Linked DNA regions of Oreochromis niloticus. The protein of the gene in region 2 interacts with the protein of the main gene of each other region in a biochemical or structural test. Links are inferred from orthologs where the notes say so. Each region holds a gene or a part of one and is shown on either strand. Other genes may lie near its edges.

Evidence for each region.
Region 1: the proteins of mapk8ip3 (region 2) and mapk10 form a complex in vitro, tested with the Homo sapiens proteins (3 studies listed by BioGRID, with this or other methods). The link is inferred for Oreochromis niloticus from reciprocal best matches to the Homo sapiens genes MAPK8IP3 and MAPK10.

The regions. Positions count from the first base shown.
Region 1 is NC_031972.2:17,602,903-17,614,132, reverse strand, and holds the start of mapk10 (mitogen-activated protein kinase 10), read right to left. Parts: upstream 5,708-11,230; 5' UTR 5,399-5,707; coding exon 5,396-5,398; intron 1-5,395. UniProt on the Homo sapiens protein: Serine/threonine-protein kinase involved in various processes such as neuronal proliferation, differentiation, migration and programmed cell death.
Region 2 is NC_031969.2:14,097,767-14,109,774, forward strand, and holds the start of mapk8ip3 (C-Jun-amino-terminal kinase-interacting protein 3), read right to left. Parts: upstream 5,746-12,008; 5' UTR 5,075-5,745; coding exon 4,769-5,074; intron 574-4,768; coding exon 453-573; intron 1-452.

The DNA.
Region 1 (11,230 bases), on a different chromosome or scaffold from region 2:
TTTTACATAGAACTATTCCAAAGAGAGTATTGGTGTATTTGTCTGTGTGTGTAACACATAAAATACTAAATGTATGACAGTGATTTTCAGCTATAATATATACAGATATTTAAATGTACATGGTGAAGGCTTTTCCTTGATAAACCAAACCAATCACATTATCACTATAGGTGAGGCAAACTACAGTAGCTCTACAGTAAAATGCAGATCATATTTTACCACGCCAGGTTATCAAAATTGTGCATCTTTGATCATGATCAGCAGAAACACTAGAGCAGCTGATTAAAAGAGAAAACTGACCACCACACTCTGTAAGTTAGTTTTGAGTGCGGCCTGCAGTAACCTTCGCGGTAAATCCCTTCTACCCCGTATGAACACTTAGTGTATTGATCCAGGCCATTTAAAAAAAAGTATCTGCAGATGTTAAAGAAAGGAGAGCTTGGATGCTCCGCAGTGTATCTGGTGCTCAGTGCTCATGTTGTGAGGCTGCTAGCTGGGGTCACAGATGCACCTGCCACAGATGCATGGCTAAGACAGGTGAAGCTGTGACCGAATATGATTATTATTCCATCTTTGACTCCTCCTATGGTGTCTTTCTTCTCTTTTAAGTTCAACATGCTAGTGTTTAGTTACAAACTCAACAAAAGAGTTGAGGAATACAGTCGCTTTAGTGCAAAGCCCAGCCAGCTGAACAAGTAGACAGTTTTGCACCCATTCATTTTAACAAGTGCTATCCAAAGGCTGCACTCAGTGTTATGGATACAGTGAAATAGTTATTCCTTTTAATATGGTCTGAACTGGAGGTGGTCTACTATAATACATGGCCCTGATACAGTGTTAGTTGTCTCCCAGGTCAAAGGAAAGGCAAACCTTAGTTTGAGGTAACACAAAAGTAATCTTCAAAAACAGATTTTGCTGTTTTTTTTTTCCTTTTGGGGCCTCAGTGTATTAATATTGTGGTCAACACCAATACTAAAATTATTTATCCAAACTAATAACCAGTACAAAACCTTTGCAGTAAAGCTAAGAGGCTTTGGGGTACCGTCAAGTTCTTCTGACTCTGACCTTTCAAGTGTGGTGAGTTTAAAAGCCCACAGACTATTATTAAAGGATCTGTTATGAGATATTTCTTGTGTGTCATGAGGGTCCATTTCATTACTAGCTGCAGAATTGCAGCCAAGGGGCGTCATGCCAATATCTACCAAGAGTCTCTCAGGACTGAAAGGTGTGTTTGACTATGTCTGCCATTTCTGCTTTTGAAAATATTCATAGACAGAAATGGTAGACATAGCGGTCATAGCGGCCTCTGAGACAGAGAAAAAAAGTATTTTCTCCAATGGTACAGTGTAGTAATAAGCACCGGCAGGAACAGTGTTAGAGGTGCAGGTGTTGGAAACAGGCAATAATGATGCTCGTCTTTGTGTGGTAGCTATGTCTCACCTGCTTTCAGCGGGCATTTTATGCCTGTTTTTTGGTTGGACTCACGCACATTGCTACAGGATGTCATTGCTGTGCTTCTACGGTTCTCCCCACTGTATTCTTTGTTCAGCAAAGGCACTGTCTGTGCTGTCAGGCTGATTGACTACTAAAAAGTAATGATAAAGCACAATAAAGCCAGTCATGTGCCAGTCAAAATGTCCACAGATACCAATGTTTGCTCTCATATCCATCTTTTCTCTCCATCTTCCCACTCCACTCCTTTTGTTGATGTCACCCAGTTCGCACCACAACATTGCCCATATCCCCCTTGTTTCTTTATTCCTCCCTCCATCGTCCGCACTGATGAGAGCCTGCATTTTTCCCTACCCTTCCTGTCTTTTGTCCCTCCCTCGCTCCCACCATTCCCACTCCCAGGCTCCCAGCCTGCCTGCAATTGTCTCCCCTCCCCCTCCCTCGGAGCTCCATTGTGAGTGCTTGGTTCAGCAGCCTCAGCCTCTCCTGCAGTATGCAGCGAATGCCTCGTCTTTTCCTTGTGCAGCCTGAGCTAAACGCAGCACAGCCTCCCCCTTTTGGGCTCGGGGAAAACAGAAAAGTAACTGCAGGGCCCAGGCAGGAGAACAAGACTTGGACTGACTCATCTAAGGGGTGTCAGAATCCGAACGCTCACTGACACCCATCGATTTGTTTCTTCACAGCTGCAAATCTGCTCACCTCCTCTGTCTCTGCTCTCGTACGTAGTCTTGCTCACATCCTCTGATTTGCTTTAGGTAAACAGCAGGCACGCTGGCCGAAAAACCACGCTGACACTGCAGTTTTCTGATAGGCTGCATAGTAACGACATGTACACCTTTGGCAAGTGCTGAGTGCAATCATCTGATTTACAGCTTTTCTTGCAAAACCTGACACACATTCAGTAGAAGGAGAAGAAGAAGAGCCACAACTGGAGCATCCTGCAAAAATGGCATCCTGAACACTTTTAACTTTTATTTTGGCATAATGACAGAGAAGTTTTCAGCACTGTCATGTGAACTGTGAACATTTCTATTGCTCTGTTTCAACTGTGGCATACTTTCTGAACTTTTTATACTTGTAAACACCTCAGTTTGAGCAAAACAACAAAAATCGACCCCCCCTGTGTTGATGAATTTATGTAACTCCTCCACCCTCAGGTCCTTTGATAACACCTGAGTTTCCACGGTGACCTTTGTTGTCTCCTAATTATCTTCATATGCAGTGTGAGAAGATTGCGATCAAATCTAAAACAGCTCAAAGTCTTGCACGCAGCTATCTGTAAAGGCAAATAAAAGCTGCATATTTGTCAGATCAAATCCAATTACATAACTGCATTTCCCATGCTGCAGGCATATTGTCACTGTTTGTCTGTAGTTGTAAGCAATACTGCGACTCGGGGGGGAATAAACTGGCACACAGCGAGAATTTCATTTTTTAAAACTAAAATAAATAAGAGCATGCTATGAAAGATGTCCTCGGAGCACATTTTTCAGCTTTCTAAGCAGTTATATCTAGGACATTACTAATAGTTATGTGATTTTAAGTGTGACCACTTACCAAGCACGTCTTAATCTACTTCAGGCTGGCTAAATAAATCTTCTCTCCCTTACTTGCTTACATTTTTTCACAGCCAGTGTTTTCCATATTTTTTCCTCTCTTGTTTAATTATCCATCTTGAGACAACTGTTGAATTTAATTCACCCAAGTTAATAACTGAGCTGTCATTGTAATATGGATTATTAGCACCAATCCACAGCTAGGAACAATGCTCAGCTGGGGTCACTGGGTGATGGCAGACTGTGCCAGCGTTCCTCAGTAACCCATCCTCATCTAATGATGAGTTTGACCTTCCATAAACGAGAGCAATGACAGACAGGCCCTCAGATGACTGATGTGGATATTTAAGTAACTGATTGTCAGGAGGAGGAAGGTTTTTTTTTCACCTTCAGACTCGCTACCATGAATCTCTACAGTAATTTCAATTATTATTTTTTGTTGTTTATCCATTCCTCTCCTCCCTGTGGTTTCATTTGTAATGACTTTGCTGTTATATAGCATTGCCAGCTGAATATATTTAAGACTAGGAGTGCTATTTGGGCAAAACGGGACATTTAAAGACATTACCACAGACTGTGTGAAACTGACTGGAGTGACCAACCAAATAATGGCTAGAAGATAACATTCCCTACTTTGCTGATTAATAAAGCCTGAAATCCCTCCATTATCTCAACTTAATGCACTGCCTTATTTTATTACATAACAAAGGATTATTGCACTGATGCTCCAGACTCAGCAAAACAAAAACAGAATGGTGGAAAAAAATGAGTGCAGTGGTGCAGCATAATATTAGTCTACTGGTGACTATTTCTATTGATGATGCTCCGTTATATAAACAAGCTGCCTCACTGCTAGTCAATATCACATCAAATCAAACAGACTGTTTTTTTTAAATATGAATTTATATAATGCTGGAGCTACTTTTGAAATTCACCAGAGGTGTTTTGGGGGGGGGGAGTTCCTTTTTGGCAGCTAAAGATGACAAGGAGGAGAAAGGGTAGAACCTTTAGCCTATTTATCCAATAAAAAAGAAATAAAAAGCAACTCTTCAGCTGCTGCGGAGACACCCATAAAAAAAGCTTTGTTTAACTGTTAAGCCTGTTCCCTGCAGCACTTTCACAAACATGGATGGAAGCCTGCTCCTGAATAATTCAGCACACAAGGTCACGGCACACAAAAAAAGAAAAAAAGAAAACTCTATTTCCCTCCTGTCATGAACATGAAGAGTTTGTTGTGATCCCTTCAAACATCTATTGACTCCACTGCACAGCACAAAGCCAGCAATTAGTCCATGACTATGGGCCTGCACAAAAACAAGAAATAGTAATAGAACAGAGAGCCCTGCTCATGTCTGCATACCTGTGCAATCAGTGCAGTAGGTGAGGTGGGTTTGCCATGCCTTCCCAATGATCGAGCACTCAGGACAAAGCTGATTTAGAGAAATTACCTTCCTCTGCAGCTTCATCTCATTTAATCCACTACACAGCATGCAGCCCACATTAGGGCTGAACAGCACCTCTCTCTCTCTCTCTCTCTCTCTCTCTCTCTGCAGGATTAGGATTATTTGAAGTTCAGCTTTCATGACAAACAGCCCAGAAATTACTTCAACTGTTTCTTTTCATATACACTATAAACAATCACAGCAGCAAAACCACGACTCTTAGAGACACCCATATGGGCTTATAAATCACCACTATAGCACAGACTGTTTGCAGGAGGACACAGTTTTCCAGCACTTATGAAAGACATGAGGCAAGCCCCCCCCATCATCTCTGTGAAGTACTGATGGTCTGCATAATGCACAAGGTGCGCAGTTGACTTGTGAGGGGGAGGAGGAGGGACAAGCCCTGCATGTAGGCCTCCAATATGTAGCCTGTGTAAGGCTATGAAGAGATATGAAGAGCATCACTCAGTCAGCATCCAGTTTCAGCCGCCAATCAAACATACATAACGCCGACTAATCGGACTGTGTGGATGTATGGAAAGGGAGGTAGCCTGGATACCCCCCCCCCCCCCCCCACCCCCACCCCTCTCTCTCTCTCTCTCACCCAATTTGGATGATGTTATTATCGATGTGCGTTCAAGGCAATGCAAGATGCGAGATATTTTGTCAGGAGAGGGCTCGCGTCGTTATGAAATCCCCCACAGCCCTCTTAGTGAATTATAGAACAACACACGCTGCTATGAATGACTCAAGATGGGGTTGATTATTTATTTATTTATTTATTTATCAATCGCTGTCCGTTTTCCCCCCTTCACTGAGGCATCACTAGTGGACTTCATTAACCTTCCCTTCCGATCAATATTCATCACTCCACCCTCCGGCCAGGCACGAGATCCAAGCATCGCATCCACACTGAAATAAAACAAATCCGTCCGGCCTTACCATTCCGTGCCAGTTGATGACGATCCCAGTCCGGTGCCTGTCCTTTTCAAAACATCCCGACGGGAAACACTGCGGAGACCATAGCTGAAGGCTTCATGAAAACGTTCATTGATGTGAGGAGGGAGAGGTAAAAAGGGGTCCGAAAAAGAAGACGAGAGAGAAAGGGGGAAAAGAAGCAGAGGTGGACCGAACCGAGGCTTGCTGATGCTGAATCACTCTCCCTCAGCTCACCACCTTGCAACCATTGTGCTGCAAGATGCTGGCTGTACCATTGTGGACCTCACCAGAGCAGAGAGAGAGAGAGAGAGAGAGGAGAGGGAGGGAAGAGGGGGGAATGGGGGGCGATGTTGCCATGGCAACCGAACAGGAGCACGTCTGACGTCAAAGCCAGGACAGAGAGGGGAGAGGGAGAGATCACATGGAAGCTGTCCCCCCGGATGGGAGGGGCGTGTTAGAGCATCTTCTCATCCCATCCTGTACCGTCCCGCTGGTGCGGTCACGCAGATCGTTGAGGATATGAAGCTCTGTTATTGCTCAGGTTTCCAGGGGCGTGTCTGCTGCCAGCCCCGACTACTCCACTCATCTGACCACTTCAAACAAACTACTGCCAGTTCTAAGAATATATGCAAGGTACTACAGATACTACCAGTACAGTGTTATTTTTTTAGAGGAATAGTTTTACACACACAAACACATTAAACAAAGCAGACATTTAAACTGTTTTGTGAGCTTTGTGAGGAGGCTTCCACACAGAGATTTCTGCATGGAAACCTGCATATGTAAATTAAAAGGGAGAGGGACCAAAACATTGAATATTTAGCCTAAGTGAGATTTACCAGCCAAGAAGTAAAAAAAAAAAAAGAAGAAGAAGATAAGGAGATAATCACATCAATGTAATAGTCTCAGCCAGACCAACTCTGGAAAAATAGTCTGCCTCTGCCACTGGTTTACTTTGTTAAATGCTTATCTTCCATTGCTCATTTTGTTAGCTGATAAAATGTCTTTTCTTGTAAAAACCAACCAAGCAACCAAAAAGAAAAACAAAAAATCCCTTTCTGTCATAATTTGTCAAAAATCCCTCCTGAACCAAGCTGATAAATGCACCAGCTTCACGGAAACTCAGAGGCAGTGGTTGCTGTTTTGTTTTGTTCCCAGGCTTGTGGAACCACTGAATTAACTTACTGTAATCACAAACTAGCAAAATACCAGCATAATCTGGTCTGATGCCTCTGAGTGAATTTCAGTGTGTGAGAATTCATCACTGTCGAGTACAGAGGCCAGGTCTTATAAGTTAAAAGGGCTTTGACACAACATTGGGGACAATAGGGGGATTTGCATGTAGAGCTTCAAAACATCAGTCTGTATACATTTACTTCTGAAGTGTCTGAGACAATTTATTGCCAAGCTTTTATTTTAACTCAACACAGATAAAGGACCAAATTTCAAAGTAAGTGCAATGGAGGGTCAGATTTTTTTAATGCTTTCCAGCTGGAACCAAAGGCTAAACATACTGGAAAACCACCACCCTAACACACACACACACACACACACACACACACACACACACACACACACACACAGCCAACAGTTCCAGGTGCCCCACATTCAAGATTATCATGACAGTCATATCCACTCTTTCAGGGTTTTAGTGCAAATTACCTCAAGGGCTCAGGCCAGTGCCAATAAGGAGGTATTAAGGACAGTACTGACAGAAATAGCAGGAAGAAGAAATCTAAAATTCAGAACTCCTTACTAAGGCTTAGCGAGAACTTGCTTATCCAGACTCTGTCCCCAGATGAGGCCTCTCTGCTCCAGGTAATGTAGAGTGATTAAAGGCTAGTCAGTCAAAGGAGACAACAGGTACACAACAGGACATTCCAACGGCTGTAACGGTTTATCATAACAGTGTAACAAAAGTGGAAAAAAACTTAAGCAGCCTCCCCAAATATTACATGTTTTTAGAAGGAAAGCTATAACTAACTAGCTAACAAATGATTGAGTATGATTCTGAGCATCCTCAGAAATGCAGTGAATTGAAAATAAAGAGACAATCTTATCTTCTGTCACATATTCTTTGGTGGGCCAATCAAAGATGCTGTTTATCTTTGCAAATATCATAATTTTATCGGATTATTGAGGGCGTCATAATAGTTAGCCATAATGGTTAGGCATATCATGTATTAATGATTGTTGTTCTGGTTTGGTTGTTCTTGTTCTCCTTTATTTATTTATTTTTTACAACATATTTGTCTCTGTTACTGAGTTGTTGTGCTTGGTGATCTATAGTGCTGATGTTGTAAGATCCCCACCAACAGACTGTTATACGAATAAAAGTATAACAATTCCTACAAATAAGACTAAAAATATAACGAATGCATAAAATATTTGTCTTATTGCATTCAGAAATAGACTAAGTATGCACCTACAGAGACATGCCTGTGCAAAAAATGAAATGGTTTATATGCAATGGCATCATCTGCTGAAATGATAATACTGGTTTCAATCTAAGTGGAAAATCAGTGTCAAGTAATCAAGCCTTATCACTGCAGGCAATGGCTGGTGATAATAATCATGCCTTTGAGCACTAACAGGCACAGGCAGGCAGAGATAACCCTTGGCCACAATCTGGCTACTAAAGGTTGTAATGAGGAATAAATGTCACAAGATGGCGCAAAGTAAACCACAAAAATAGCCCATCAAGACAAGAGCACCTATAGGAAGGAAGTACTCAGCAGTGAATTGCTTCCTGACTGCTTAGTTGACTCATTTTGATGTTATGGGATATACAGAAATCATGGTTAATTTTGGAATTATTTTAAACAGGAAACAGGTCAGGTCCGTCGTAATTTCCCATGGTTTAAGAACTGTTTAAAAAACACCCTTTCAATTATATTAAAATACACAAGATTCACTACTAGATTCACACATATACCATACATAACCCTATGGAAGTGGTGTATTTCAAAGAAATGTATCTTAAAGTAATTAAAAAAAAACCTTCTATATTATACAACTATTAAATGTATCTCAGTGGACAATATTTAATTTTATAAGAGCACTTTTTAAGAAACGTCGGGGACCTGGATACATACTCTGCTTCCATGACTTGGTACTGTGTTACTATAGGAACGGCTAAATGACAGTCCCCTCGCGGAGAGCCAATAGACAGCCACAGTAAGGTGTCTGGTTACTTCCAGTCAGCCCACGCGCAAAGGGAGGAGTTGTTCCACTCCTCAGCAGTAATGGTAACTTGGCTTCTCTGGTGGTGAGAGCAGTACTGTTTAGTGGCCAACAAGCGCAGCTTCTGAGGAGTTTCAGAAGACCAGATTTACTTTTTTTTTTCTTTTTTCATTCGCTGTGGCCAGCTTCAGTGGAAGTGGATTTTTATAGGTGACTGCTCCGCGGAAAGGTAAACCTGTTGCCTCTCCGCCTGTCTGCCTGCCTCGCCGACAGCTACGATCCAAGATGTTGCTTTGTGGATGGGATGGCGTCTGGTGCCGTTTGTATGCCCACTCATAACCTCGTCCGAGCACCAACATTTCCCTCACAGCTGATTTTGTAGCTCGTCTCGGCCGGTAAGCTTCTTATGAACCGCTCAGAAAGTGATGTAAACAAACTTTATAGTGTCCTAGCTAACTTTAGCCAAACCGGGATAACCGAGGGATTGAGTAACTCGTGAGGAGCCTCAAATACCGGAGGTTTTATGTCTTTTCCACCCCTTTTTTAAAAACTAATAACAAAACTAACATCGTCAGAACTACTAGCTGGCTGCGCTGTTGATATTTAACTAATATGTCTCGACCTTAAAAGTTATGCGTCATGTCTTGTTAACTTAGTCCAGAATCCCTGACAAATGGAGCATCTCTAAGCTAATCACATCGTATTGTAATTTTGCGAGGGTGGAAACACCACCTCAAAAATAGCACAAGACTAGCAGACTGACTTATTTCAAGTGATTCTACCTGGACATTTTTGGATAATTATGAGAAATGCGAATAACATTTTAGCGTACACTCTCCTTCTAAACCCTAGCAAAAGGTGAAGCGGTATAGTGTCTCTACAGACTGAAGGTTTTATCGGGGAAGGCAGCTTGGCCCCCTTCCCCCTTAACTTCACCGCTTTTCTATGGTAATTAACCTAAGGTCAGAGGTCAATTTGCAGACGATCAGGTTAGGCTGTGTGCCTGACCAGGTTTAAAGTGGCTATAATGGGGCACCGTCAAGAAAAAGAGGAAAAAATAGGAATATAGACAGTGGGTTGGGTTTGTGTGTGTGTGCTGGGAAGAGGTGGGGGGGAGCTGGAGTGAGGTTTTTTTTTTTGCAAAACCATGCTCTGCATGTCACTGTACTCATAGCAACCCTGTGATTAACAGAAATGGAGCGGATGAGGTCGAGACCAAAATGAGAAGTGAGGGCTGTTGGTCCAGAGCTGGGCTGATATTCAACAAAATAGTCTAAGCTCTCTTTTCTGGTTCCTACCCTGGCTTTGTTCAAAACAAAAACAACCAAAAAACAAGACAAACACCAACACTCAGAGATGATTAACAGGACGTACTTGGAAGGTACTGGTCCCATTGCTGTAATTGTCAGCATCCCTGTTTAGACATTAATAAGTAATGTGGAAAAGCATGTCTACTGATTGTACGTCAGTCAAAAATAATGAAAACTCACCACTGGGTTTTCCCATTTTATTTAGTTGAGTCACTCATGCTCTGCTCAGTTTCTTTCATAAGCAAACATGAGCAGGACACAGCTGTGAATACAACTGGAAATTAATTTTTGCAGTGGAGCACCACATCAGCTACTTTAACAGGTAGTGAAGGTTGAGGTTTTCAAACCATAATTCTGGCTTAAAGTTGCATTTTATGAACTCAGTAGCTTGCAGCCTAGTTAGCTATGTATGAATTCTCATTGCTTATGTCATAAGGCGTGTTCGCGAAAGATATCTTGATCAAGCCTTTCTTCAAATTCAAAACACACACACACGGGTGTGTTTTTTAAATACGAATCATGTGCTTGCAGGCTGCACAGTACAGTAAGATTCAGGGAATAGAGGTTCACTCAGAGTTTGGTACTGAATTTTCCTGGCATGTAAAACCTTCAGGACGATTTTCACCTCAGTGCTGGCGCAGGGTAACCCCTCTCCCCTCCCCACCACCTCTTACCAGCTTCTGTTCCAGATGTGCTTGCCAGCTGAGACCACAGCTCTGATGTTTGGAGGATATGAACAAATTCCTTCTCATATCTTATGAGTTGTGCTTTTGGAAGGAAGAGTGGAATCTGGTGCTTTTATGCCACATTGCCCCCAAAGTGCAGCTAGGCTTGTTTTCAGATGATTTCGAGCAGGGTTAGGTTTTTGTTTATTGCTGAGGGATGAACTTGGAAGACAGCAGGAAAACTGGAATTATGTGTGCTTCTGTTATTTAGCTGCAGGTGATTCTTTTCAAATCCATTTTGTGGACTGGTAGCCGTGACAGCGGAAGGTGGGAGGAAAGGAAAAGTGCAGAGTAAAGAACATTATCACGTTTCCAAGGATTATTTTCTTCAAAATCCTTGTGACTGTAGCCAAGGCTTTTAAACATGAACAGCAGCAGACTAATCTTTGTTTAGTTTCCCCTTTTTTCCTAGCTATGGTATGGGAATTCAGAGGAATATCTGGGAACAAACATCTCCACAGTTTGAAAAACAGAGAATGGGGCGCTGAGGTGGTGAAGGCTGTCTGGTCTCGCTGTTTTGGCCCGCTGCCTCCTAAGCACCCTCAATAATGAGCAGGACCGTAGTCCAATGAGAGAGAGGAGCTGGCCTGCACAGCAGCCTGAGTGAGGATAAAAAACAT
Region 2 (12,008 bases):
TTCATTTCAAAATCAGCCAAAGTCTAAAAATACATCCTGAGCGTGTCTACTTCTCTTTCCGCCTTCCCTTCAAAACTACAGTGGAAATCGTTCAAGAGCCTCTGTGTTATCTCTCCTGCTGTCCTCCTTCTTACACACACACACACACACACACACACACACACACACACACACACACACACACACACAGCTGTTAAACACTATTTCCAGTGTTTTGAACAAGCCTCAGCAGCCACATGTACAGCATATTCTATTAGACAGGACAGTGTAGTGTAGATAGGAAGGCAATGGAGAAAATAAGCAGGAGCACGATGACCTTCAGAGGACAGCCTGGGGCGGACTCAAACCCAGGACACTGCAGAAAGCAGTACAACCTTCGGTATAAGGGTCACCCTTTCGGCCAGGTGTCCTACACCTATGCACAGCATATGACGTGACGTCTATGCACTCACTCTGGTCAGAATAGTTCTTTGCCTTCAGCTCCAGCTGTTTCCCCTGTAGCTCCAAAAACTCCACCTGTATCTGCAGGTCCTTCTTCTCGGCCTCCAGTGAATCCTCAAATTCAATAAATTTCTGATAAAAGGCAAACAAGAGAAAAAAAATAGACCGAGAAATTAATTCACAGACTCTTTTAAAAGTGAAAGGTCATATAAAATTAGTATTTTTGTTATAATTCATATGAAGGGAAACAGCATATCATTTTACTTCATATTTTCTATGAATTACATAATTGTTCATCAGCTTTACAGCAGTGTGTTTTCAGGATACATCGGGGCTTTTGTGCACGTGTCAAAAAATGAAAACCGAACTCACTTTACATGGCCGTGTGGTTATATGTGCCAGTAGTATCTGAGTATTATGGTAAAAGTATTTCACAGTTTGTCTCCTTCAGGTCTGTATAATAAATTTATCTCACAATACATGCAGAAACACAGAGCTGCCTACTTCCCCCCCATGCTGCCTGTTTCATTTTTTTAAATAAAGCTGCTCACAATGACGTCCTTTTTTCTGCAAGTCCACAAAGTCTTAATACGGTAATCCTCTGACTGCAGACAGACCTTGGAAACACCAACGTGCAGCAGATACACGCCACACAAAATAGCAAGCACTGCAACACAACAGCACTCTGAAAAATACAACCAGTGCTGATGCTGTACCTAAAGCATTAGTTGCAGGGAGTGAATCGGCAAGAACAACACTTGTCATTGTAAGACGATCCTAGTTTTTCATATGTATAAAAAATCTCCACGGCTACAGGGTGAGGTCACTGAAACGAATTTAACCAAGTTTAATGAATTACCGAAAATGTGGCAAAACACACCCTGAAACACACAGCAGAGTAAACAACACTAATGCTGTAGTCTCCCTGCAGCTTTAGCAGAAGGAGAACGTGAAATTCCTGAAGAAATTGCAGAGTGATTGCTGCAGCATTCTTGTAGCTGCTGCAGTTTTTGCACTGTACTCATGGTGCAGGAAGAGTGAACCTCCAGCCCTGTCACTGCTCAACATCCACAGCTTTAACACACTATAGATTCAATGATAAACGACCAAGTTTACACATCAAAACACTGTCTTTGTGTCATACTAGATGTCTTTTTTCTCGCTGAAACAAAACACAGCAATATCTTTCGTCCTGCCCCCCTCAAAATAGGAAGGTGCCCTTCAAGTCCACCCCTCTATTCCCCATGCCTTTATCTGCACGAGGCTCCCAAACCCGTGCAGGTAAAGGCACATCACTTTCCATTAAAATGCAGTGTTAGTGAGGCACGGCTACAGAAGCAAGAAAAACGCGGTGCATTCTCATAAATAACTTTAAACTGTGCGAACAGCACTCAGACAGGTAACGTGACACAGCGTAGGAACGAATGTTTGCGTGGTCCAGTCAGAATAATTCTCATTAAGCAATCCTGCGATGCGTGACGAGTGAAACTAATGAGCTTTCCTGACAAACTGACTCTAAGTGTGACTGCAGTGTGGTCACACGCTCAACTGTGACCACACTGATATCTGAGGAGTTATATCTGAGTGATATCAGAGGAGGGTGTGAAGTCACAGCAGCATGAAAATACAGAGGACAATCTGAAATCTTTGAAATTATTATAAAATCTAGAGGTTAAGATAACATGTGGAACTTAGCTGGTTAATCCTTTGTATGTAAATCACATTAAGAGAGATGGGGAAAAGATGGTTGGAGACAAACATGGGATCTTTTAGCAGGAGATGCTACAAAATGGTTAAATTTGTGCTTGTGGGTATCTCGGTCGAACGCTTCATGAGTAAAAAGATTCGGCTGTTAGCTCTAATAACTTTATAATCTGAGCTGCCTTTTCTGCTTGTTGTTGCCCATGTCTTGCAGGAGGAGGCATTATTGTTTTCCTCAGACTCTGTTTGCTTCTTTTTCCTCTTATTATCCTTAGACTCTTTTCGATCTGGCCTGGGCTGGGCTGGGCGTTTGCTCGCCTCTGCTGTAGCTTCATATAACCCTCAGTCTGTTTCTTTCTCTCTGCTTTTGTTATTCTCACTCTCTCTCTGCTTCTCATAAGCACAAATCAGATTACAGTCCCAGACTCCCCCAGTGAGCTCTGTGTGCTATTGATTTCCTGTGACTTCTACCCATTTGCACATCATCCCATCCCCCTCTGCACCCCAGTGATGGAGAAAACTGTCTGTTTATTTGTCATCTAATGTCACCAAACAAGTACAGGTTTGTGCAAAAGTGTGGGCAGCCCTGCACGAAACTTCAAATCTTAAATACGCGGTGTCTTCGAGACAGCTTGTGCCAGAGGTGCAAAGAAAGATTTGCATGTGGGTGAAAAAAATCTAGGCAAGGAAAGAGTCCTAGCTGACCACAAAAAGACGATCTGATTCCTATACTGTGACGTCAGTGTTTTGGTTTTTTTGGCACACATATAAATAGCATGTAAAGGCATGCATTGTTGTTACAGTTTTCCTTTTCAGTTTCTGCAGAGGCACGACTGATGGCTTAGCACCTACTTTAACCTGCAGCACATGTTCATTTTCAAGTACTGGCCCTACAAAATCCTATTTTCACCATAAGCATTTTCTGTCTGTAATGATATTAAACTGAACCTTTAATACAAGGCAGCTTAAAGTGAAAACAAACTAGATAACTAACAGAGGAGACGCCGCTGGGGAGAGCAGATGACAAAGTGAGCTAAAAGCTGAGCTAAGCTGACACCAGCAGGGCCGCCAGTGATACTCTGAGGCCTCTTTGGATGGGAGGAGGATTAAAGTTGCTTTATGATGCCTGCCTGCAGGATCTCACTGCTGCTATGACACCACTCAGGTAAAAACAGAGGAGATAAAAGTAGCTGCAGGTGGAGTCCAGTCTGTAATTTAATAGCCCCGTATTGAAACACACTTTTTGTTGTTTGTGTTCCTGTTCTTTCACTGTTTTCGAGTGCAAACGCCCACACAGAGTCACGCCGACTGTGCCTTTATCTTCATGCATGTCCTGCTATCATGTCCTCCCTCACTTTGTGTTTGCATACTGTGTTTTTGTTATATTTGCATATACTTCTGCTGTGCTGTGTTAATGTTTAAGGAAGGAGCACTTAAAATTCCATGTGTGATGATGGTGGTAGCAGCACTGTTAGCAGTTAGCTGGCTGTAATTACACCGGTGGTTGCAGCAGTACTGGCAGGACAAAAGTGATAATAAAAACCTGTAATAGTAACAAAGCTATTCACTTTAACTTTAAAGTTAAACAGCAATATTTGGAAAACTTGTAGCAACAGAATGAATCGATGTTAGATTTTAACTTTATTTCATAAAGAAAACTTTAATCTGATGTTGATAAACAGACAACGAGGGTAAAACTGTAAGATGTCTTTTGTCTCGATGCATGTGCTTAACTTCAAAAGTCAGAAGGGGGGCACTGCCCACCCCCAGAAATATAATTGTCTCAGACAGTTCTTACAGTACAGATGAGGGCTGGAGTATAATGAGTGATGGCGTATTACGTGTAGCACATTTACTCAAGTACGTTACTGAAGTTTTGCTGGTTCCTATTTCCACTTGACTATATTTTCAGTACAGTTATTATACTTGTACTCCATACCATTTAATTTACTCTAATTTAGCAGATTTTAAAATCTAAATCTATGAATCTAAAAATCTGTATTATTATTATTACCATTATTCATAAAACCCCCTGTAGCAACGTGATTACATGATTAAAATTGTCTCCAGTCATAAGATTAAAGTGATAAAGATATTATACTATGATCCGGTAATGCAATGTTTATGATTCTGCCATAAACCCATATTTGGATTCAGGATTACAACTTTTACTCACCTACAGGATCTAAATACTTCTTTAACACGTTGCAAAAACATTGTTTTAAACCAAAACAATGGTTTACCTTTATAATAACACCATCTGCATGAGGACTCCTAGTTGATAATTATGATAATTGTGCCCAGTGTTTTCAACACTGCTGTGCACCCCTGCCTTGGTCTGGGCCTCCTGATTTCAGAAATCCCGGAAACGTCCCTGTTGTTTACCTGGTTGACCCTCTTTAAAAGAAAAAGAAACTTCCAGTGGTGTCTCTATACTGATTTAAATATCCTTAAATAACGTAAGCAGTGTGGTTAGGAGTGACTGCAGTGCAGTGACACTAATAATACGTTTAGCAATCCCTGTCACAGGCCTAAACATGAGTCACATGTGCCTACAGAACAGGACGACTGGAAGTGATGATAATGAAGGGCCTGCGGTGCTGTGTGGGGAGCTCTTTTAACGCACCTCCTCCGCCTGCTTGCGCAGCGCTTTCTCCCTCTCATACTGGGTGATGAGCTGCTCGTTGTCCTCCTTCAGCAGCTCCAGCTCCACCTCGTGCTCCTGGTTCTCCGTCAGCACCGCGTCGAGGTTTTCCAGGACGTTCACCACAAGCGGCATCAGCTCCTTCACCACCTCCTCGTCGTAGCTGTGTATCAGCCGCTCGAACTCCCGGTAGATGCTGTTTGCCAGGCCCGACACCCGCTCCGACATCACGGAGCCGGAGCCGTAGTCGTCCTGGTAGACCACCTCGTCTAACTGCAGCTCCATCATCTTGGCAGCTGTGGTCCAGATGAAGCTGCGCCTCCTCTCAACAGTTTTTCAGGCCCTCCTAAAAGGCGAGGGTGTCACCGCTTTTGAATCCGCTCAGCACGGGGGAAGGGGCACATTCAATCACAGTCTGCCTTCAAAAAGGAGAACAGTCATGCCATTTTGCAGCAGGTTTACTGAACGGCGGCAGACTGTTGTGTGCGCATAACCTTGAGTCCCCTGCTGAAAATATCGGTTCTAATAAACTGATATGAATAGGCCCCCTCCTCCACCTCCTCCTCCCGCTCCTCCAGCCAGTTACGGGCTATCGCCTCCAGTCGCGGCCCTGTTATCACTGTCCTCCGGCAGCAAGCATCAGATCCTGGGCGCTGTGGATTGGCACTGGGCCAGCCTGTAGATCGTCCATGTCGAGGAGCGAAACGACTTCGTCGATGGTATTGCACCTGCCTCTCAGCAGCCTCAGCCATGGACCCCAGCCATTGCTGGCAGGGAAAATAAATAATTAATAAATAGGTAAATAAATATTCTAGTTAGTCTTCCCGATCACCGCCGATGGCCGATCCCCCACTATAGTCTCGTTTTATCCATATCTTTTCCTCTTCCGGCAGGCCGCCGATGCTGTTGGCCAGACTCGGGCGTTTTTTGGTGATGTCTCCCTGTGGGAGAGGCTCTCTGTGCTGCTCAGATGGAGGAGCCAGCTGACCGACTCTGGCTGACGTCACACCGTCTGCATAGAGCAAGCAGAGGCAGTGCGTCAAGTCAGGAAGGCGAAACCGGATGTTGGCTGCAAAATTTCACAATAAGCTGCATAGGTTAGAGCAGAGGGGGGTAATGCTTGGACACTGCTAGCATAATGGACAGGTTTTTGACGGGGCTCCCACACAAACGCAAAGCAGAAGATGAAGCATCGCCAAATATGTTTCCAAACTAACTTCCTTCCAAGCCAAATACTAGAAAATATGATGAGGCATATCTTGGTTTTGGCTTCACCTGCACAAGTGCCAAGGTAGGTCTCCCCAACAGAATTAGTTTCCCTGCGTCGGGAGCACACGCTGGGCTCTCCAAATCACGGACAAACAGTATGCCACATTCTTGATTTTTAGTTCACAAACACTTCTTATAATGACTAACTACTCCTGACATTTTGGAGTACAGTAAAGTTATAGTGGGACACAAATAACATCAGGTTGATCCTGTCACAAATCACGGACAAGCAGTATCCCACATGTTTTGCAGAGAGAGGCATGAAACGTGTTACTTTGTGTCTCTGTGCAGGCCAGAGCCTATTATATGCCGCAGCCTAAAAGCAGCTGAGTTGCAGAGGCCGGAGTGATCACTGGCTATCTACTTACAGCCAGCTATGCCACAACTGAACTGTGCATTTTTAAAATCTTGTTTTTAATAAAAAAATATTTTCATTCCAAATCTTTATAGCCTATAGCAAATTTAAACAACAGAAGCTGACCCAAAGTCCTTTATGAAGTTGTACCAAAACGCTTTATTTTGCCCAAAAAAGGTGATTCTTACTAATACATGCATTTGAATGGCGTTCTCGCTCAAAACAGAATATAGTTTTTCATTTTGTGAATAACTTGAAAATCTTAGATCAAACAGCTGCAAAACCTGTTTGCACAACGCGGGGGTGTTGAATTCTGTAAGATTCACCCATAAATATGCATGTCTGAGTCGTCCTTCAATAGTTACAGCTATCTTTAAAGACAGCACATTTACGATCCACAGTATCAATATACAAGAAAACTGTGTTAACTACTATATTACTGTGGGTTGTTAAAATTACAACATTGTTGTGGTGGTGTTCATGAAAATGTGTTCAGAACTTGGCAAATGTACGATGATTCAGCTCATAAATAATAACACACTGCTCTCCCCTACATAAGCTCCCTTTATAGGTTAAAAGTATCGGTATCTGCAATACTGCTCTTAATTTACTTGGTATCAGATCGATAACGAAATTTGCAGGATGCACAGCACTGCTGCTGATGAGTAGCAAAATAACTGAATACGTCAGGAAATAGTTCTATAAATATATAAATAAGTGATTAAAATATAAATCGACTAAGTTTAAAATGCTCTGTATTTCTATTTTCAAATAATTAATTACACATTTTTAATTAGTTCCAGTTTTATTCCAGACCCCAATATACTGAGGGTGGGCTTGCACTTTGGGGGTCCCCGAGTTGCTCCCCTATGTATTTGCGTAATGACCTTAACTGCTTTCATAGAGAAACACCTTATAAAAAGCCTTATAATTTAACTTATAACTTTGATTCTTACAAGTGTGGTGTGTATTGTCAACATAAGAATGTACCGCATTGGGCACATTTGACCTCCGACCTGTCCATTTGATTTCTCATCTAGACCCTCTAGTGAGGGTCTAAAAGATCATAATGTTATTTAAAGCTATGTTCCTTACTGCCATTGGCAACATTTAGGAGATTATATACCAATATATGTGGATTCTAATATCACATTATAGTTTACATACAAATATCCTGTCATCCTGTATCTCTGTGAGGTCAGAGGTCAAATTTACAAATGAATACCTCTTATCTGTGACCTACTCCTACATAAAGTTTGTGTAATCAGAGTAAAACATCTGCCATATTTTAATACAATAGTTGCTACTAAAATGTTTGATTTTGACTAGAAGACAAACACACGTGTTCAGTCTAGGCTGAAAATGTAGACATTTGTGTGACAATGAAAACATGCAATATACACAATATAATCTTTTTAGGCCTTTATTAATTAAAAAAAAAAAATCAATTTAGAGTGCCCAATAAGATAAGTTGTGTACTAGTTGACAAAAAACGCCCCCCAATAATCTGACAATTCCCTCTGAGCAAGCACTTGGCGACAGTGGGGAGGAAAAACTTCCTTTTAAAAGCAAGAAACCTCCGGCAGAACCAGGCTCAGGGAGGGACGGCCATCTGCCTCGACCGGTCATGGGATTTTTAAAGTGACTCATTGGATGTGAAATAAATTGGCTTGTTTGAATCATTTGTTGTTAGCCGATTTAAAGAGTCACTTTAATGTCAACTAATACACTTAAACTGTCCAAATAATTTTAAACAAAAATTTAAGCAATCCTGATGGATTGCTCAGGATTGCTTACGATATATTAATGTTGTTTTGTCTATGTGTGAACGCGACAGCTCGACCCACAGACGAAAAGAAGCTTCCGATGAAAGTTTGGCTTTCTAATATAGTTGCAGCATGCTCTCTGAAGACCTTAATAATGAGATTGTGAACATGTCTGTGGTCTAATGCCATGAATCCCAGTATTACATCTGGGTCTTTCCACATCTCTATGAGAGAACTGTACACCATATTACTGAGGAATATCACATGTTCAGGGGGGATTTGAATCTTTTTGATTCGAGGCCAGAGTTTACTGAACAGCTGTTTGGCGATGGCATCAGCTTTTTGAGAAGAGCAGGGTGAGTCGGCATTTTCGACGACTTGCTTCACCAAGTCCTCAACACAGATTTCCACAGAAGACCTGTATTTTTGAACCTCTTCAGCCGTACTAAGGGCTGGATTCTGCATCGATTCGATCAAGTGTTTTTTAATTATATTGATCGTCAAGTTTTGCAATTTCGGGTCCTCGTCATTCAGTAACATTAAGATATGTTGTTCTTTGCAAAATGTTTTGCTACGGAGCTCTTGGTAAATGGCCTTATCAAGACCTTTTAATTTTTTTTCATCTATATACAGGTCTTTGATGTTGACATCAGACAACACGCTACTAACAAGTTGCTTGTGGAGTTTAACCGAAGGTTTGTAGCGGGAAGTTTTTGCAGCATGTGAGAGTACGCTATGAATAAGTGCGCTCACATGCTCTTTTTCGTAAGGCTCAAGAGAACTGCCACTATCACCAGATGGTGATTTGTCCCCCGGTATTGGAAATATATCATTTTCAAACTCGTCCAAAAGTGTTTGGGAGATCTTTCTACTTTCTGGTATTTGGTCTCCATCGTCCTCTGTTTTTCCACACCATGCCAGTAACCTTGTTAGTAGGTTTCGCTTCTTTCGGAACAGGTGCTGTTTGAATATAGAAATGACTACTTGTTGGTGCGGCGGAGCCACACCCAGTGCAATGATAACAAGGTTAGGTGTAATATTCAGCACCTTTGTAATGTCTTTAAAAATTGCTTTTTGAAGACGTTTGATACTCTTTTCTTTTATATTTAGAGTTTTTTCTTTAAGTTGCGCCCACAGAGCAATGAAGAGACGGTGTTGAATGTCATCGGATGGCGACACCTTTGCCTCTCTTGAGGCGCGTGTAATTACTGCATTTACGAGCTCTTTAACAAGCAGCTGTTCCTCTGACAGTGGAGCTTCCACTGTCACATCATCAGAAGGTGCAGAGGGCTCAGCCTCGCACACGTCACACTCCTTCTCTTTGGAGTCCTTGGTGGGCTCAGGCACTGGTGCATCTTTTGGCCCCTCCTGACTCAGTTGCTGGGTGCATGAATGGGGGCAACATGCACAGTGCTCCGATTTCTCCCCGACTCCCTGTAACATTGCCTCCCCGGAGTTGACAACTTCCCCTGGGACGACACCACCCTGACAGTCCTTGATCATTGCCATGAGTTCCGTTACGCTGACGTGAATCAGCGATGATGTAATGCTGCCAAGTGACTGCATGGTGTTTTCATCTGGGCACCCTGTTTTCAGTGCACTCCACTGTTTGTCTGACATGGTAAGAAAGAAGTCCCTAATTTTGGCTTTTAAATTTTCCCTAATGTCACTGGAAGAATTCATCTTTATATTTTCAGGTCTAACTGTGCCACAGTCTGGAGCTGTTTTTGTGTTTTCTGTACACTGTTGGGTTTGACTGTCAACCATTAATGCTTTTTACTAACTAACCCTGTATTGAAGGCTATATTTATGGATTTTAAGACATTAAAGGATCAAAGGATCAAAGGGATTCTAGCGCTAAGCTCCGCCTACATGACGGTGACGTGCCGTTACCTATAGCAACCGCTATAAGCTGATGATCAGCGACATAGCTGGACGGTGATTTTTCGTCCTTATGGGCCGATGACTTATGGCCGATGTGTAAAAATAACTCAGTTGTTTGGTGGTGGCTATAGTGGAGCTTCCACAGAGGCCAGCGGGTGGATGAGGGAAGGAGAGGCAGGAGGAGCAGAGACCGAGGCGGTGAACTGAACTTCAGGTAAGAAGTTATGACCTGCAGTCTATCTGGGTCAGATATAAGCCAAGTTTAGGTGGAGTTTATTTTCGTTGTGCTGACTTTTTACAGTCAGTTACAATAACTCATACTGTGTACTAGCTAGCATGAGGGAGTTTCTATCCGGTTGTTCAGTGATGACGCGACGAATCCTACTTCCGGGCCTAAAGTAGTCTGCGTTTAATATGGCTTTTGTGTTGTTAACATGTTTAATGCTTTGTATTTTCTTCTATTTAATCTCAAAAAGCTCCTAAAAACATTCAGTGATCACCGTTGACCTCCCTCGGCTTTTATTACCGCTAATCATTTATTTAAGCTCAGTTTTTAAAACCTTACGATGTAACTACAGCACAGCCCATGCAGCAGTATATGAATAACTAACCTCGTATTGTGGATGGATTATCTCAGTTGTTCTCCTGGCTGAAGTTTGGTCCGTTTACAGCATCCTGCCATGCGATTACATTTGTTCCTGACCACTGAGAACACTCACGTTAACTTTTGTCGAGTGGAAAAAAAGTTAGCTTGTTTATAATATGCTAACATAGCTGTGTTGCTAGCGGTCACGTAGCACATCGTTATATACCAGCTAGCCAAACTTCAGTAACCCTACAAACGTCACTGCTGTTTAGTTTTCTGTCTTCATTTATGTTTGAAGTGATAGCAGAGCTGTACGTTTGAATTTGTTTTTAAACCCCTGCAGTCAGGACATGCTATATTGTATTTAGATGGAAGCTAGCGAGCTAACTTCCTGCTAACTTCTAACTCCGTTAAATGTCATAAATTCCGTTTTCATGGATGCCTGGATGTTAAACTCAATTGTTACACCTGGTAGAGAAGAACGCTGATCATTTTATTAAAGATGAAAGACTTTAGACAGTGTTTTAACTCTCAGTAATGCCACAGTGATCATTTGATATATGGACCTGCAGCAGAGTTTAGGCCCAGACACGGCCAGTGACGTCAGACTGAACAACCGGATACAGCTGTGTTGGTGCTTTGATGTTACTGATAGTGAACTTTTTTATTCATTTTAAGCTTAGTAGTCGAGTTGCCAACCGACCAGTAAAAATGAAATCGTCCCGCATTTAGAGAAAATGTTATGCGTTTTGTATTGAGGTGAAAAGGAACACAGTTTGTCCCGGGCTTCAGCTACAATGAAAAAGACACAAAGCTGGAGTTATTCTGTCTTTGGTGCACAGCTGCCTCTTCTTCTCTCATTCTCTCCCTCTCTCTCCTGTTTCTACTTCAATCATGAAATTGATCAATGATCAGCTGATCGGCTTTTCTCTCTTGTTTATTTATCGCCCACTTTGCCCCAGAAAGAGGAAACCAGTGGTAAACAACAGCAGCACGTTTAAGCTTGATCGGCTGTTGTTAGAATTTATTTAATATGACTTTCTAGTATCAGCTGATGTTTGCTGGAGCCACAGCTGTAAAGCTGCTGGTCATGATATCAGTTTGGATGTGTGGTGAGAGGGAAACATGCAGATGAAACCAGGAGATGTCCTTACTGAATCATCAGAGCTGAACAGGTGATGGAGAAACAGGTTTACCTTTTAGGTGACATGAATGAGTTGAAGGGAAGTTATGAACTGTTTCTGAGAAATAACACCAGGATCCTTTTCTAAGTAGCTGACAGCTGGTAACTGTGCAGGGGCGGGTCTAGCAAAGATTTGCCAGGGGGGCCAGTTAGGGTATTAACAGGTAAAGGGGGACACA